Linked DNA regions of Neurospora crassa OR74A. The protein of the gene in region 2 interacts with the protein of the main gene of each other region in a pairwise test. Links are inferred from orthologs where the notes say so. Each region holds a gene or a part of one and is shown on either strand. Other genes may lie near its edges. The genes, in order: NCU04455, NCU08951, NCU08903 and NCU01612.

Region 1 (4,308 bases), on a different chromosome or scaffold from region 2:
ACAAGCAGAGGGCACAATGGCGAAAAAAGAGATGTGACCTACCACAAGCAGACCAGCCGCAACGACACCGCGGACCACACGATGAGCGGCTTCAAAGAAGCGATCCTTATCGCCGACCAGGGCAAAGAAGACTTCCTCCAACAAGAAAGGGGCGCAAAGGGCGGCGGCAAAAGGCCACCCAAGCACACCACCAATGGCAAAGTAGAACATGGCCATGGAAGTCTTAAGACCCCCACGCCAGTTCATGAAAGCGGCGGCTCCAAGCATGGCCATGTACATGGCGAAGCTGGAGGGCAGGTAGGCGGTGCTGGAGTGGAAATTACCGGGGCTGAATACGAGCGCCACGATAAAGAACAGGCCGATCCTCGGGTTCAGGGCCAAGCAGATAGCCCTCCACATGAGCGTTTGGCTGAGGGCACAGATGAAAGCCAGAACACAGCGGACAAAGTAGAACTCGGCGACCTTGTTGGAGTGAGGGAGCAGCCTGCGGATATTGCCCACAATGGCATGGAGGGCGACGTAAAGCCAGTTTCGGATGGCATAGTCGGGCGAGTATTCCCAGGTTTGGAGGCCATAGCCGTGGCTCAGATAGTGTGTTGGCTCCCAGTAATTGAAGGTCTCATCACAGTCCTGGATGGGGGCGAAGAGAGCGGCAATCAGGTTGGCTCCGAGGAAGATGTAGAAGGCCGAGATGGGCTCGATCGCGTAGGCATCTCGAATTGCCCTGGCGACACGTTATGTTAACTACACGTTCCAGCAACAGATGTCAAGCAGACATGAGTGAAGCAGAATGGAAGCTTGTCATGATCGTGATGGGTGCTGGGTTTCACTAACTGCTTCTTGGCATGTTTGGCTTTGGGATGCACAAACTCCTTCTTGGGAGCTTCGCTGGTAGGTGGTGGCATCGGATCGTCGCTGTCTTTGGAACTGGTGTGTTTTGGATGAATTCAAGAATAAGTTGGAATTGGGAGGGAGGAAGACAAAGTTGAAGCTAAAGGAAAGGAAAGGAGGAAATGTCGTCACAGCATTGGCGCTATCAGAATAAGCCGCCCGCGGTCAACAACACAACTTAACCCGCAACTGGTCAGAGTCTGGCGTTCAACAATAACAGAAAAGTTGGGGGATTTTCAGCAGCTCGTCTTGCGTCACTCCCGCAATTGGACAGCGCTCCATCAGAGGTTTGATTCGGTGCAGGCAGGCATTGGATTCAATGCACGTGAAGACGTCGGTTCAGGCAGGCTCGGCAAGCTGGGCTTGTGCTGCGCTTGTCTGTAAAGAGAATAGCGCATTTAAATCTAATCCGTGCTTCCTGCAGCTTTGCCCGCCATTCGACAGGGGTCTGGCTCGATAACCTTTTTTTTTTTTTTTTGCCCATGTCCCAAATTCTGGATGTGGTATGTCCGATAAGAGTCGCGATAAGGAAGTGGTCCTGCAAAGGAAGTTGCTGTTTTGCCTGAATCTTTTCCCTTCCTTCGCCATCCCATCAACTTGCTCACAGAGTGTTTATCTTCATATCCTTTTTCGAGGATTGATTGCGCTGGGTATTTGATATCGCAGTTTGAATTGATCGATATCTACAAGAAGGCGCACCCATCTTCTTTCCCAAGAAGCACCCTGTGCCACGCGTGGTGCTACAGTCAATTCGCCCACCATTGCCACCTCTTGTCAACCAGCATTCACCTTCATCGTCACCGTCGACAACAACACTACATTCAGCCTAGACCACTATTGCTGCCTTTTCTTCGCCTCGCTTTGCCATGTCTGAACACCCCTTTCAGATTCCAGGCCTTGGCCAGGCAAGGCCAAACGAGCAGCTCCCTGCTGACAATTTTGCACCTGATCTTCTTGTCGCTGCCGCTAGCATCGTCGGACAGGACGTCCTGGCAGTGAACTCTGCTGACCCTGCGCAACTGCTTGGATTGCCAAAGCCAAAGACGGAGGAGAAGAAGGATGAGAATGCTATGGATGTTGATTCCAAGCAATCAGACAGCACGCCTGCAAAGGCACAGGAAGACGTCAGCATGACGAATCACGGCGACAACAAGCAACAAACTGCCTCCGAGAACCCCGCCGCTTCCAACCTCGACTCTCCTCCGAGCCCCGACGTCACTTCTACACTCGAAGCCGCCCTCAATGGTATGCTGGATGCTCCCGCCAGTTCGGCAAACATGACCAACGGCGATCAAGACGGAGTCCAAGAGGAGGAACACCCTGAGTGGGAGGAGGATTCGTCACCATACGAATCTTCCTCGGAGTCGAGCTCTGATAGCTCATCCGATGATGATTCGGATGACGAAGATGCGCACCCCGTGTTGGGCGTGGAGGAAACAGTCAGGATGCTCATGGCCGGCCTTGACGAGGAAGACGAGGATGGACCCAACAAAGGAAAAGGAGCTGGCGCGCCATTGCGGACCAAGAACGAGATCGTCGAGGAGATCATTCCTAAGCCCGAGGTTGTCATCACCCCCGAAATGAAGATTGAGCCTCTGGCTCACGTCGAGTTTATTGTTGAGAATACCGTGGTCATGAAGTCTAGAGTCCCCGGCGAGGTCAAGGTGCTCGACTTGGGTTCGGTTCTTTGCAAGGAAGACAGGACGGTCATCGGCGCCTTGGCCGAAATCATCGGCAATGTCAAAAGCCCGCTGTACACTTGCGCTTTTGCCAACCAGGATGAGATCAAGGAGCTTGGCCTGGAGGTCGGCACACAGATCTTCTACTCCGTTGAACACGCCAATTACGTCTTCACCCAGGAGCTCAAGAAACAAAAGGGCACCGATGCCAGCAATCTTCACGACGAAGAAGTTGGTGCCGATGAAATGGAATTCTCCGACGACGAGAAGGAAGCCGAATACAAGAAGCAGCTAAAGATGAAGAAGCGTGGTGGAAAGGCTGGACGCGGGGGTCTGCGTGAGCAGGTTCTTCGTGACCAGTCTTACGCCCCAAGCACTGCGTATGCTCCCTCAGCATCCAGTGCCACCCTCGACCACAGTCCCACAGTATCCAGTGCTACGCTTAACTACGACGAGGATGACGATGGTCCCTACAGGCCTCTCGCTAGGCCCGTAGGCTTTGGTCAGGGAGGGCCGCCATCACTGCCACCGAAGCCCGAGGTCGGATTCAACGCGGCACATGGTGTTCAGGGTCAGCGGGGTGGCTTCAGCCGTGGAAACCGGGGCGAGTTTCGCGGACGTGGCCAGCGCGGAGGATACCGTGGTGCTGATCGGAAGCCTGGTGGCCACCGTGCTGGACGTGGTGGTGCTGCCGCCCCTTCCTATGGAGGCTACGAGAGCACTTCGGCACCTCCTCCATTCCCCAACACACAGCTGCCTCCTCCTATTCCCCCGAATGCACAAATCCCCCCGCCTCCCTTCGGCGCAACCCCAGGAGCAGCACCCCCGATGCCCGGTGGCCATTGGCCTCATATCCCGATTCCATTCCCACCGCCGCCTATTTCCTTCCCCCGGCCCTCGACCCAGTCACCTGTTCCTCCCCCTCAGCTTGCAGGAGCTTTTAACTTCAACTTCCAGGCGTGGAATCAGGCTCAGGGCCAACCGTATCAATACCCACCACAGTCCTCGTCATCATCTGCTTCCGCGCCCCAGCAACAATCGTCGACTCCCAGCTACCCTCATCAGGCACCGACCGTCCCGCCTGTGTGGTCTGGCGTCCCGCCCCCACCTCCTATCTCTGGCGCATACGTAAACCCGAACTTCTTCCAACAGCTGCAGGCCCAGCATGCCCAACAGCCCCAACAGCCCCAACAATCCCAACAACCTCAGCAACAGCAGCAACAGCAGCAGCAGCAGCAGCAGCAGCAGCAGTATTGGGGACAGCACAACGCATACGGTCAGGCTCCTAAATAGGATGAATCGAGCTACCCAGTTGCCGCGTGGATCGCCAACAATATCAATGAAGGCGTCGGGCGCCATTCTTGAGACACATATCCATCAGAGCAGTGGCTGTTCCCAGGAAATCAACCGACCATTTGTTCGATCCTTGATTTGTGAAGGCAACACGCAGTGGCCTTGACAGCGCATCACCTGAGGGTCTCTCTACCTTCATACCATCTACATGTCCCGAGTCATGTCTACCAGTATTCTTGGTTTGTTGGAGAGGGTCTGGCTTGACTTTCGGTTATGAAGAAGAATGGCTCCTTGAGCGAACCTTTGCTTGCATCCAGCATGGCCTTCATTCAGAAGGAGCATGCTTGTGCTATTGATTAGGGTATACTATTCTCTGCCTACATCAATTGGTGCAGGAAAAACGGAACAAGAGTCTGGATACTCTTCGTACAAGGAAAGGATGGGG
Region 2 (3,541 bases):
GGCAGATGCGCCCTGGGACATGGGGGTAGATGCGCCGGTAACTGGTGACTGTGCGGTCTCTGAGACGCAGAGAAGGTTGAACATGGACTTGGACATGGGGAGAGTCGCGGCGCGGAGGGGCGTGGGGCCTGGCCTTGTGGAAATGGTGGGCGTTGTGGGCAGCTGGGAGAGGTCGGATACTGAGTCGCCCATCTCGTCGGCATTTCTGTCCTCGGAAGCCTCATCACGAATAAGACCCATTACTCGGCGGACAACGTTGCCGATGACTTGCTCAGTGGGAGCAGCTTGGGCAAGTCTGTGGCCGGTGTTGGAGACCTTTGCGAGCAGCTGATCGACGTTCTGCCACTTAGACTTGGCGACGACCTGGAGCAGCATATGGGCTGTGGCATTGGCGACATCATCGCCCTTGACTTGGCGACGTTTTAGGAGGCTGCCCAACCATGTTAGGATCTGATATAAGATAGATATGAAGCAGGCGTAGGCGTACTAAATAAGAGCCTCGATAGAAGCCTCCAAGGGCTGAGTGTTGAGAGACTTGAGGAGCTTGCCCAACGTGGGGGCATAGCTCATTTGCGACGACGCCATGGCGATGAGCTGTGTATAGTACTCTGTGTGCTACTGAGGTATTGTGGAGGTGATGTCGAAGTGAGAGTGCGACTGTTCCCTGCTCGAGGCTGTATGGTCTTTACGAATGGTACTGGACGGATATCTATGAAATCGATATAGGCGGGGGGGAATGACAAGGCTGCTGGTCGCAAAAAGGTTCTCCAACAATAGCTTCCAGAACTGGGCCAATGTCGCTTGGGATTGTGGACTTTTTGCCAGTGAATTGTCGAGGTGAGTCAATGGCTCACACTGAATGCGCTTGGAGGTAGGTATCACAAGCTCTAGAAATTTAGTGGGGCAGGCAAGCAACCGGCCTTCAAGGACAAAGCACTGCCGCTGTTTGCCAGTTTGCGGCAGGCTAGAAGCAGGCCTTGTTTAAGTTCAAGACTACTACTAATCCCTGTCGTACTGAATGGAAAGCCCCACCAAGCAAAAGGTGGAAGTTTAAGACATTTCCTCTTATCGCGTGCTTATCGGAAAATTGGTCCCTCTTATCGCACCCAATTCCAGGCGCTCACCTGCATTATCGGCCCCCGGGCGGAACGGCTTTACAATTGGCCTACAAATTTTTGGTCGCGTCGCTCTGCTTTGATTGACTGGGTCACTTGATGGACCCAGTAAAATCTGCGTTGAAGAATCCATTTCTGCGATCAACCGCCCCATCACGATACCAAATACCTTGACGCCCCAACCCAGTAACTTTTTTTTCTCTTTACTGCAGTGGTTGTCTGTATAACCATTCTTTAATTCCTGTTTGATACCCCATCCCCCTCCACCACCAACTTTATCTACACACACCCAACCACCACCACCAACAACAACACACACACACATTTAATCCGACAAGATGGGTGCCACCGACAAGATCAAGGAGAAGAAGGACAAGTCCGAGAAGAAGGACAAGAAGGAGAAGAAGATGAGCGAGGAGGCCGGTGTCAAGAAGGAGAAGAAGGACAAGAAGGAGAAGAAGGAGAAGACCGAGAAGCTCGCCAAGGCCGTCGAGGCTCACCTCGAGAAGGAGGGTTCCGTCGACCCTGAGGATGTCGTCAAGACCGCCGAGGACCTCGTCCCCTTTGCCCTTCCCCTCGCCGACGACAAGACCCACAAGAAGATTTACAAGTTGATCAAGAAGGGTACGTTTTGTGACTACTCTCCAATTGCATTGCCAGGCTCCTCAATCGCAGCCCACGCACGACTTGTACTGAACCCAAGCTAACTTTTGATTAAAAAAAACAAACAGGCGCCAAGCTCAAGTCCATCCACCGCGGCGTAAAAGAGTGCGAGAAGGCCATCAAGAAGTGCCCCCTCCGGACCGCCGCCTCCCCTCCCGCCGACGCTCCCGGCCTCGTCATCATCGCCGGCGACATCTCGCCCATGGACGTGATCATGCACTTCCCCATTCTGTGCGAGGAGCACGGCGTTCCCTACCTGTACATTCGCTCGCGCGCCGACCTCGGCGTTGCCGCCTGCACCAAGCGCGCCACCTCGGTGGTGATGCTCAAGCCCGAGGGCAAGAAGTCCTCTGGCAAGGAGGAGGGCGACAAGGTCGACCCTGCCGAGTACCTCGAGGCCTACAAGGAGCTGGTCAAGACGGCGCAAAAACAGTGGAACGTCCAGGTCGAGCCCTGGGTCAAGGGTACTCACCCGCTCCAGATCGAGGCCAAGGTCAAGGGCACTGCCTAAATTGGCGGGAGCAATGACTCGAGCGAAACAAAACACACAAAAGATGAAAGGCTGCAACGACATGATGGCGACAGCGGGAGCACATGAGACCATGACACTATTGCAGGTGCCGGTGTGATTGTGCGTCTGCTTGTTGCAAGAGTGTTCGTGTGCGTACGTGCTTTTTGCTCAGACAATCGGACCGTCTTACCGTTGAGAGAGAAGAAAACAGGCGACCGATCATCTTGGAGATTGGACGCTGGCGGGGAGCGCAAAGACTGTTATTCGATGGACTTTTGCCTGGGCTTGGGGAACAGATGAAGGAGGAACAAGTTTGTGACGCCTTAATCACAACCTCTATCACTCTTTTCTTCCCTCGATGTCGATTTCTGTCTCCGCTTCGGGCTCCTCCCACCTCTCGCTCTCATCACGAAAAGATTGTCGGATATCGGTCATCATCTCTTCCGCATTGACCACATCCGGTCGGCTCCCATGGGCTGGCTTGGTTGTTCTGGGCTTTTATCTAAGCTATAGATAGAGAGCATTGATGGGTTGACGGTTTTAGTCTATCCTGGTTTCGGTTATGGATTTATGGCGCTGGCTACTTGCTGTCATTAAAATATGGAAGGCGTTGCGGGGTAAACACTTGTATTTTGTACGGTATATATGAGAAAGGAATACCAAGTTCATCAGTTCTCATTTTCCAGTTCGTATATGTTCAAGCGTCTTTGGGTCGAATGCCGCGGGCTGTACTTCTGGCCTATGTCACGACACACAACACAACATCGACATGGCCAACTACCATCGCAACACTCAATCAGATGCAAGACAACTCCTGGTCACCAGCAGACAACAAGCACACGAGCCAAATAGTGAGTTATCGCCAGCGTCTTCCATTCATCTCAGGAATGCTGATACTATGCTAATAGCTTGATACAATACAGAGGGTACCAAGAAAAAAAACAGGAAATGCCCAGGAACACGCCCACACTCCAAATTGTAGGTGCGATACTCAAGTTCCCCATTATCATTAACTTCATTAAACCATACCAGAGTTCCTCTTACTCAAAAAAGGACCCTTTACTCGGCACGCCAGCTTGTCCGGCCGAGAGTAGGCGATCCGGAGGTAGCAGAGGCGCTGTTTCAACCATGTCAGCAGACTGTTCCCACAGGATATACCGTAGTAGATAGGTTCTTTTACAATAGGGTGACCCACTACTCAAAAGGGTTGGTGCGCGTTCCCCACCAGGTAAGGAAGACGGAAAGGCCGACA
Region 3 (3,060 bases), about 5.1 Mb from region 2:
GTCGGCCATACGTGTTGTAGGGACAGTCGCCACAGTCGACGCGGGGAGAATGTCGACCGCAGCAGTGAGCGGTGGCCGAGTCGAAGTAATAGGACCAGGCGGGGATACGTCCGCCGTTAAGGGTGGTGAGGCGGTAAGCAGGGCAGCGGGGGTCGCCGGCGAGGGCGGAGGGGCAAAAGTGGGAGATTATGCGGCCTTGACACATTTTGAAGGTATGGTTATCTTGGGATGGATGGGGTTTACCTTGGGATGCCTGATGGTGGTTCGGAGTAGTGGTTTGTTGTTAGTTGTGGGATGGGGGTGGTTACCTTGGTTTTTGGAGTGCTCCTTTTCTCGTAAAAGCTGGTTTGACGCCTTGTTGATTCAAGATTTTTGGTTGTCGTGAGGATGAGCGAGACCATTTCGAATTGTGGGATTGGGGTGACGGAATCATTGAGTATTTATGCTGGTGTCAAAGTAATGCTGTAGGGATTGACAACTAAACTGTTCAGGATACTGAAATGAAGCAACGACCCTTGTGTCCGGTTCAGGGGAGAACACTCCCGGTGAATGGGAACTTGTGAAGGGCATTATTGTTCGGCATTTTGTGTCATTCTGCCGGTAGAACAGGAGTAAAGTTTTTCAAGAGACATTGATCATGGATATGTCCCAGACAAGGTCTGAACAATGGGGACACAGCGTATTGCCGTGGCTTGATCATGTTGATAGGCCACGGGAAAGTGAGAAACAGGGAGACAAGAACTGTCGTGAAGTTCAAAAAGACATTGTTCTGGAGGCCTTTGTTCGCGGCACGTTGATGGACTACCGTGGTCAATGAAGTGTGAATCCGTACCCGCGGCGCACTGAACCATGATTAAAAAAATCTGTCCAATGACCGTTGCCCGCGGTGCAGAATTGAGATTCAAGAGTTCAAGATCTGGAAGTTCCGTGCCTTCCCATTCCATAGCAATGACAATAGGATGAACAGGGGATCGATCTCAAAGCCCCACTAATTCCCATGTCCAGTTAGACGTGCCTTGCAGTGTGGGGCATCTGGCCCTCCACCGCCTGCCTTAAGCGACAGCAGCGCACAGACCACTCCATTTTTCGTTGCAGTTTCTTTTCCATTGTCGGCGCGGCAACGTCGAAAATTATCGAAAGGCAGGAGATTTGAATCTGACAACTCTCACGACAATCACCACACACATCTTCCAGCTCGCCAGACCATACCAAATCACCCTACACACATTCAAGCCCGTCAGCTCAGACAAAACCGCCAAAATGCATTTGATGTACGTCCCCGCCAAGAACGCCGACGGCAAGCCGCTCGCGCGCCAGTACACCCTCAAGAAGGTCCTCGACGGCCAGGTCACCAAGAGCGCCCACCCCGCTCGCTTCTCTCCCGACGACAAGTGGTCTCGTCACCGCATCACTCTCCGCCGCCGTTTTGCGGTCCTTCTCGCCCAGAGTATGTATCTTCCCACCCACTCAATTGCCAGTGAAATGGAGTCGAGCAGCGGCTGACGTTCCCTTTTTTTCCGCTGCGAACAGAGGCTCTCAACAAGACCACCGAGTAGAGTGACCGTGGCCAGCGGGACCCATTGACCGAAATCAAGACCAGGTTCCATGTCAATGCTGCCACCCGTCTTTTGTTCGCGTCCGGCGCGAGACTCGTCGGTCCAGACGATGCCAACACCCACAAGAACCTTGTTAAGATGATGGAAGACGAAAAAGACAACTTCAGGACAAAAGCCGACAACCACAAGTTCAACGCCAAGGCCGCCGTCTTCTCCTTCATGTTAGACCAACACATGCTCAAGCAGGAGGATAGTTTCGACAAGAAGATCAAGGCCATGCTCGAGGCCAACCACCCGGACGAGTACTACCTGGATCAGTACTGCCAGATGGTCAAGAACATGGAGAACTAAGCCGAGTTCAACAAGAAGGACGGCAACGCTTGCGGTAGCTACATGAAGTAGTTGACCAACAACCTCTCTTCTTGTCCGCCTACCTGCTGTGCTCGACCAGTTTGTTCTTGCTTCCACAACCACGACCTCGTTTTTGGCTGCTGCTCTCCTGCAGCGTTAGCATTTGATTGTCCCGTTGGATCTTCAATCGAACCGATCGTTGGCAGACGGTTTTCTTCCCTACTTGCAACAATTTGGAAGTGGAAATTGGCAATCCACGACGACCGGGGGGGCTCGCTTTGGTTTCAGATAATGACACACAAGACAATGATGGCACCGACAGCAGCAGCGGCGGCGGGATGGCACCCGGCTGACTGAACTGGCTTGTTCGGATTCTCTGGATCCCGGAGAAACACCTTTCTGATGCTTGGGTTATATTGCATGTTTTTTCCTTTTTTTTTTTCTTTCTTTCGGATTTTCAAAAACAGGAAAAGACAAGTTGGGCAGAGCTTGTCTTCTTCCTCCTCTGTGTGGCGTTTATCGGATACGGGATCTCTCCTTCAGTCTAGTCATTTGGCTAACTGGGATTTGGTTGGCGTCTTTTTGCTTGCTTCTGAGCATATAGTGTGGGAAAAACAATACCAATGACTTTCTCGATGATTTTTTTTCCCTCGGTCCGTTGATGATACATTGGTGGTCACAGCAGACCGTCCGTCCGCTCCTCACCGTGTTCACCTTCTCCTCCTATTTCTCCAATGAACCATGCATGACTTGGCGTGACCGCTCGCTCATTCTCTCTCCATGCCTTCCTTTCTCTCCCTAATCCCGTAAATCCTTACTCAGCACACTACTACCGTTCATATCAAATGCGCGAGGCCATTTACCATCCGGCTCAAGAAGAAGATTCCATTCCATTCCATTCCAGTCCCGACCAACACTACCTACCTACCTACCCACTGTACCCAGAAATGATACTACCATGCCATATATCAACAACCCAGGAAGTTACAAGCAGCCAGCCAGCCAGCCAGCCAGCCCAAGTCTAGGTAGTGTCGGTAGGTATCTACTAACCGGGCCTACCCCATGGTGCTAATTAAATCAAAAACTACCTACCTTAACAAATGGACAACAAAGCCAGACATCTCTCATCTCAACGCCGTCAGATCAAGGACAT
Region 4 (4,162 bases), on a different chromosome or scaffold from region 2:
CTCTTCTTTATCTTCAAGTTCTCCTTCTCCTGCTTCTCATTGCTGTTCCCGGCGGAAGAGGTCGCACCGGTGCGGGCGATGTTCTCCGTAACGTGTACGAGCGGCGGGCGACTCGGCTTCTCTTTCTCGGTATCCTTGGTCTCTTCACAACGACCACTACCATCAGCTACCACAGCAGCAGCGGAAGAAGACTTGTTCTTTCTCTTCCTGTCTCTACAACGCCACTAACGCGCGCTGCCGCTGCCCTTGATGGCTTGCCTCCGCTTGACCTTGTCGGTGATACGAGTGAGCGCCGACTTTATCTCGCCCTTCTCAAAGGTATCGAGGTCGTAGTAGACGGGGGCAATTTCCTGGTTTACATAGGTCAGTTTCAAGATGCCATTGACAAAGGGAATTCATAAAAGGGGAATACGTACAAGAAGCCACTCAGGACGAATGTTGGTCACTGTCCTGACGTACTGCTTGGTTGTGAGAACGAACTCGTTATAGACGACCCAGTCGTATGGGCTCGTCACCGACGTACTCGGGTGGATCATGACGAGCTGGTCGTCCTTGACCGTCTTGTACACCTTGCTGTTGCTGCTCTCGCGCATGGCCACCTGCATGAAGAAGCCAGCCAGGAGCGCGCGGCGGATGTTGGTGTAGTAGTTCTTGTCCTGGAACGGCGTGCTGACCAGGCTAATGTCGTGCGTCTCCATAATACGCTTGAGCTGAGCCCGGACGTTATCGGCGCTCGACAGGTGACGGTATGAGAGGAAGTGCTCGTGGCACCAGCGCTTCATGTCGTCGCCATTGGTCTCGGCACCCTTGAAGGCGTGGTAGGCGTTCAGCAGCGTCAGGTGGTCGCCGTCGGGGTGGGCGAACTGCATCTTCATCTCGTCGGCCCGCTTACGCGCGTTGTTGGGGCGTACCCATATCGAAGGGACGGAGAGGAGGGACACAATGGAAAGGATCTCGTTGGAGCAGTAGAACTCGGGCGACGAAATAAGCATGACGGCGAGGGCGGGGTCAAGCGGGAACTCGGAAGCCAAACCACCGAGACGCGTAAGCTCACCATCGTCATCTAAGCAGGCGAGGTAGTTAAGCTCCTCCAGGGCGCGCATCATGGTCTCGGGCGCAGGAGGGTCCATGAGATCAAAGTGTACCAAATCCTCAACACCAAGCTTCTTCAACTCCAGAACAGTGTTGGCCAGGTTGGATCGGAGAATTTCAGGATAGGTTTGCTCAATAAGTTCCTTCTTGAAAGCCTTCTCGGTGTAAAGACGGAAGCATTTACCGGGCCGTGTACGACCAGCACGACCAGCTCTTTGCTGAGCAGAGGCCTTCGAGATAGGAGAAACCAACAAAGACTCAACACGAGAGCGGGGGTTGTAAATCTTTTGCTTGCTGAAACCGGGGTCGACGACGTAGACGATACCATCGATTGTCAAGGACGTCTCGGCAATATTGGTCGAGACAATGACCTTGCGACCAGGCCTGCCACCCTTGCGCAGGGGCTCGGGGGCCTTTTCGAAAATGCGCTGTTGGTGCGCAGGAGGGAGAGTGCCGTAAAGAGGGTAAACCTTCATGGGGCCAGCATCCGACTCGCGAATCATGTCGTCCACCTCCAAGCTGATTCTTCGGCAAGCATCCTCAATCTCCTCCTCACCAGTAAGGAACAGCAAGATGTCTCCCTCGGGTTCAGTGGCGTGGATCTGGAGGACGGTCCGTACGGCGGCCTCGAGGTAGTCACGCTCGGGCTCGGGGGTATAGAAGATCTCGACGGGATGGGTACGACCGGGGACGGCGAGCAATGGGGCGTTGTAGAAGTAGGACTGGAACTTTTGGGCATCGAGCGTGGCAGACATGACAATGATCTTGAGGTCTGACCTGCGGGCGGCGATCTGCTTGAGCAGGGCCATGAGGATATCGGTCGCGAGGGTACGTTCGTGGGCTTCATCGAGAATGATGCAGCTGTAGCGGGACATGTCGTGGTCGTGCATGGACTCGCGCAGGAGCTGACCATCCGTCATGTACTTGAGCATGGTCTTGGGGCCGGTCCGGTTCTCGAAACGAATGCTGTAACCGACTTCCTGGCCCAGTTCGACATCCAACTCGTTCGCGACACGCTGGGCAACCGACATGGCCGCCACCCTTCGGGGCTGGGTACAGGCGATGAGCTTGCCGTTCGTGTGGGGGAGCTCGTCGTAGAGGACGTATTGGGGGATCTGGGTGGTCTTTCCGGAACCCGTCTCACCGACGAAGACGAGGATCTGGGTGTTGTGGTACATGTCGAGGAACTCCTGGCGCTGCTTGTGGACGGGGAGGTCGCGCCTCACTTTGAGGATGTCGAAGTATCTCTGCGAGTGCGGCTGGCCGGTCCACGGGTTGAGCTCCGAGTCCTCGGCCTGGGCGGCCTGGGCGGCGGTGGTCTTGTGCCTCTCGAAGGCGTCGAGGGGCGATTCGAAGTCGCCATTGGTGCCGTTGCCGTTGCCGTCCTCGTTGAGATGGGCGAGGTAGGGGTTGTACTTTTCGGGGGCAGCATCGCCATTCTCGGCACGCTTGATGCGCTTTGAGTCCTGGTCGTTGCCGTCCATGTTGGATCTCTTGACGCCTTTGTCGTCGTGGCTGGCCATTGTGGTACCGACCGAGGGCAGCTGGCCTTTTTTTTATATCTTGTTTCTTCGAGCGAGAGGGGTGGGTACTAGGAAACAAAACAAGAAGACCGAACTGAAGGGGAAGAAGAGAAGCGGCGATAGGCAAAACAGAAGGCGGAGTGTCGATTATGGCACCTCCAGTGGCAGTGATGAACAACAGCGAAACAGAGTGGAGGGGAGGGCAGTGGGCAGGCATGCGAGGCTACAACTTTTTTTTTGTTTGATGTCAGGGCGATAGGTCAGACCTGGCCGGCAGTTCCTGGCCGCAGCGACTCTCGACCAATGAGGGGTCACAGTGATAAGCTTCAGTGGAGTAAGGAGTGTCTTTGGCAAGCGCTGATAAGCAAATCACTGTAGCATTGGACAGGACCCTGATGGGCACTAAGACGGTAATTTTCTACACTGTTCTGTAACTGTCAGGTTCACTCAGTTTGTTCCTGCTGCACGTGAAGAAGAAAAAAAAAAGAAAGAAAAAAAGAGGCAAAATGCAGGCAGGTTGATGAAGTTTGTGACATTGTGACATTGTGACATTGTGACTTTTGGCGCATTGGGTTTGTGTGCAATCTTTCTTTCACTCAGCTATTTCATTTTCCATGTACCTATCCATCTATACCCCTCCATACCTGTTTATTTCGAGTTGGTGACCGTTGAGGTTGGACTTTTTCCTCTGGTGCTTCTTCCCTGGAAATATCCACTGCCATGGGGTCAGTCCGTTTTGGGAAAAATAAAAAAAAAGTACCATCCAACTTTGATTTCAGTCTTTACAATTTTCCCTGTGATTGGGTCCGATACCTCATCAAAGTACAGCCTATACATTCTTCTACTGTATACAGGCCCCAGAGACTAGTATAGCTACCTTCTCCGTACCCCTCCCGCTGCTGTTCGTACCACCTCAAACCTAACCTGGACCATCGCGGGGTTATTTACTTCTAGTCTCGTCCACTCTCTTTCACTCACTCGGATTCACATAAAAGTCCAGTCACTCACTCATCATGTCTTCAAATCGCGGGTTTAACCCCGAGTCCGAGTCTTTCGAGCAACGGCCGCCCTTTTACATTGGCCAGCATGATGTCCAACGACATGAGTCGCCCACTGACAATCAGTACGGCCAGATCTTGGACAGTGGTGTAAGTCTTTCCTTACATTAAAGTAGGAAGAGAAAGAAGAACGAGCAACAGCATAAATTCTAACACACATGAGATGAGAATAGTTCAACTTTGTCACCACCCCCATCACCAACGAGCACTTTCACCAGCGCGTGATCGACTTGTACAAGAGCCATCTCCAAGAACGGGAACAGTGGGTCACCGAACGGGGACTCACTGACGCCCAAAAGGCCAACCCGTCGCTGCCACTTCCTACGGTTCCTACCTTGACTGACGACGATACATCCCTGTTTCCCAGCAGCTATGTTGGCTCGCTCATCGCCTATGCCAGCCCATGGATCGACCTCTGCTCTGCCGATCCCATCATCTCAGACATCTCCCGTCAGGTGCTGAACCTCGAGCTCGCCTACGCCAACTTCT

The links.
Region 1: the proteins of NCU08951 (region 2) and NCU04455 interact in binary tests that used the Saccharomyces cerevisiae proteins (3 or more experiments, as listed by UniProt). The link is inferred for Neurospora crassa OR74A from reciprocal best matches to the Saccharomyces cerevisiae genes NHP2 and NAF1.
Region 3: the proteins of NCU08951 (region 2) and NCU08903 interact in a two-hybrid assay, tested with the Saccharomyces cerevisiae proteins (2 studies listed by BioGRID, with this or other methods). The link is inferred for Neurospora crassa OR74A from reciprocal best matches to the Saccharomyces cerevisiae genes NHP2 and NOP10.
Region 4: the proteins of NCU08951 (region 2) and NCU01612 interact in binary tests that used the Saccharomyces cerevisiae proteins (3 or more experiments, as listed by UniProt). The link is inferred for Neurospora crassa OR74A from reciprocal best matches to the Saccharomyces cerevisiae genes NHP2 and PRP43.

What each region holds. Positions count from the first base shown.
Region 1 is NC_026504.1:3,301,283-3,305,590, reverse strand, and holds the start of NCU04455 (hypothetical protein), read left to right. Parts: upstream 1-1,470; 5' UTR 1,471-1,757; coding exon 1,758-3,863; 3' UTR 3,864-4,308. Other genes in the region: NCU04454 (mannosyl transferase), read right to left, coding at 43-724, 835-905. UniProt on the Saccharomyces cerevisiae protein: RNA-binding protein required for the maturation of box H/ACA snoRNPs complex and ribosome biogenesis.
Region 2 is NC_026505.1:5,798,354-5,801,894, reverse strand, and holds NCU08951 (ribosome biogenesis protein Nhp2), read left to right. Parts: upstream 1-1,200; 5' UTR 1,201-1,453; coding exon 1,454-1,739; intron 1,740-1,846; coding exon 1,847-2,289; 3' UTR 2,290-3,038; downstream 3,039-3,541. Other genes in the region: NCU08952 (translation regulator GCD7), read right to left, coding at 1-430, 488-585; NCU08949 (hypothetical protein), read right to left, coding at 3,349-3,406, 3,485-3,541. UniProt on the Saccharomyces cerevisiae protein: Non-catalytic component of the H/ACA small nucleolar ribonucleoprotein (H/ACA snoRNP), which catalyzes pseudouridylation of rRNA and is required for ribosome biogenesis.
Region 3 is NC_026505.1:695,473-698,532, reverse strand, and holds NCU08903 (Nop10 family nucleolar RNA-binding protein), read left to right. Parts: upstream 1-1,206; 5' UTR 1,207-1,269; coding exon 1,270-1,447; intron 1,448-1,530; coding exon 1,531-1,556; 3' UTR 1,557-2,545; downstream 2,546-3,060. Other genes in the region: NCU08902 (hypothetical protein), read right to left, coding at 1-205.
Region 4 is NC_026502.1:2,956,869-2,961,030, reverse strand, and holds the start of NCU01612 (pre-mRNA splicing factor ATP-dependent RNA helicase PRP43), read right to left. Parts: upstream 2,840-4,162; 5' UTR 2,616-2,839; coding exon 417-2,615; intron 351-416; coding exon 225-350; 3' UTR 1-224. Other genes in the region: pp-2 (protein arginine N-methyltransferase HSL7), read left to right, coding at 3,629-3,763, 3,847-4,162. UniProt on the Saccharomyces cerevisiae protein: Pre-mRNA processing factor involved in disassembly of spliceosomes after the release of mature mRNA.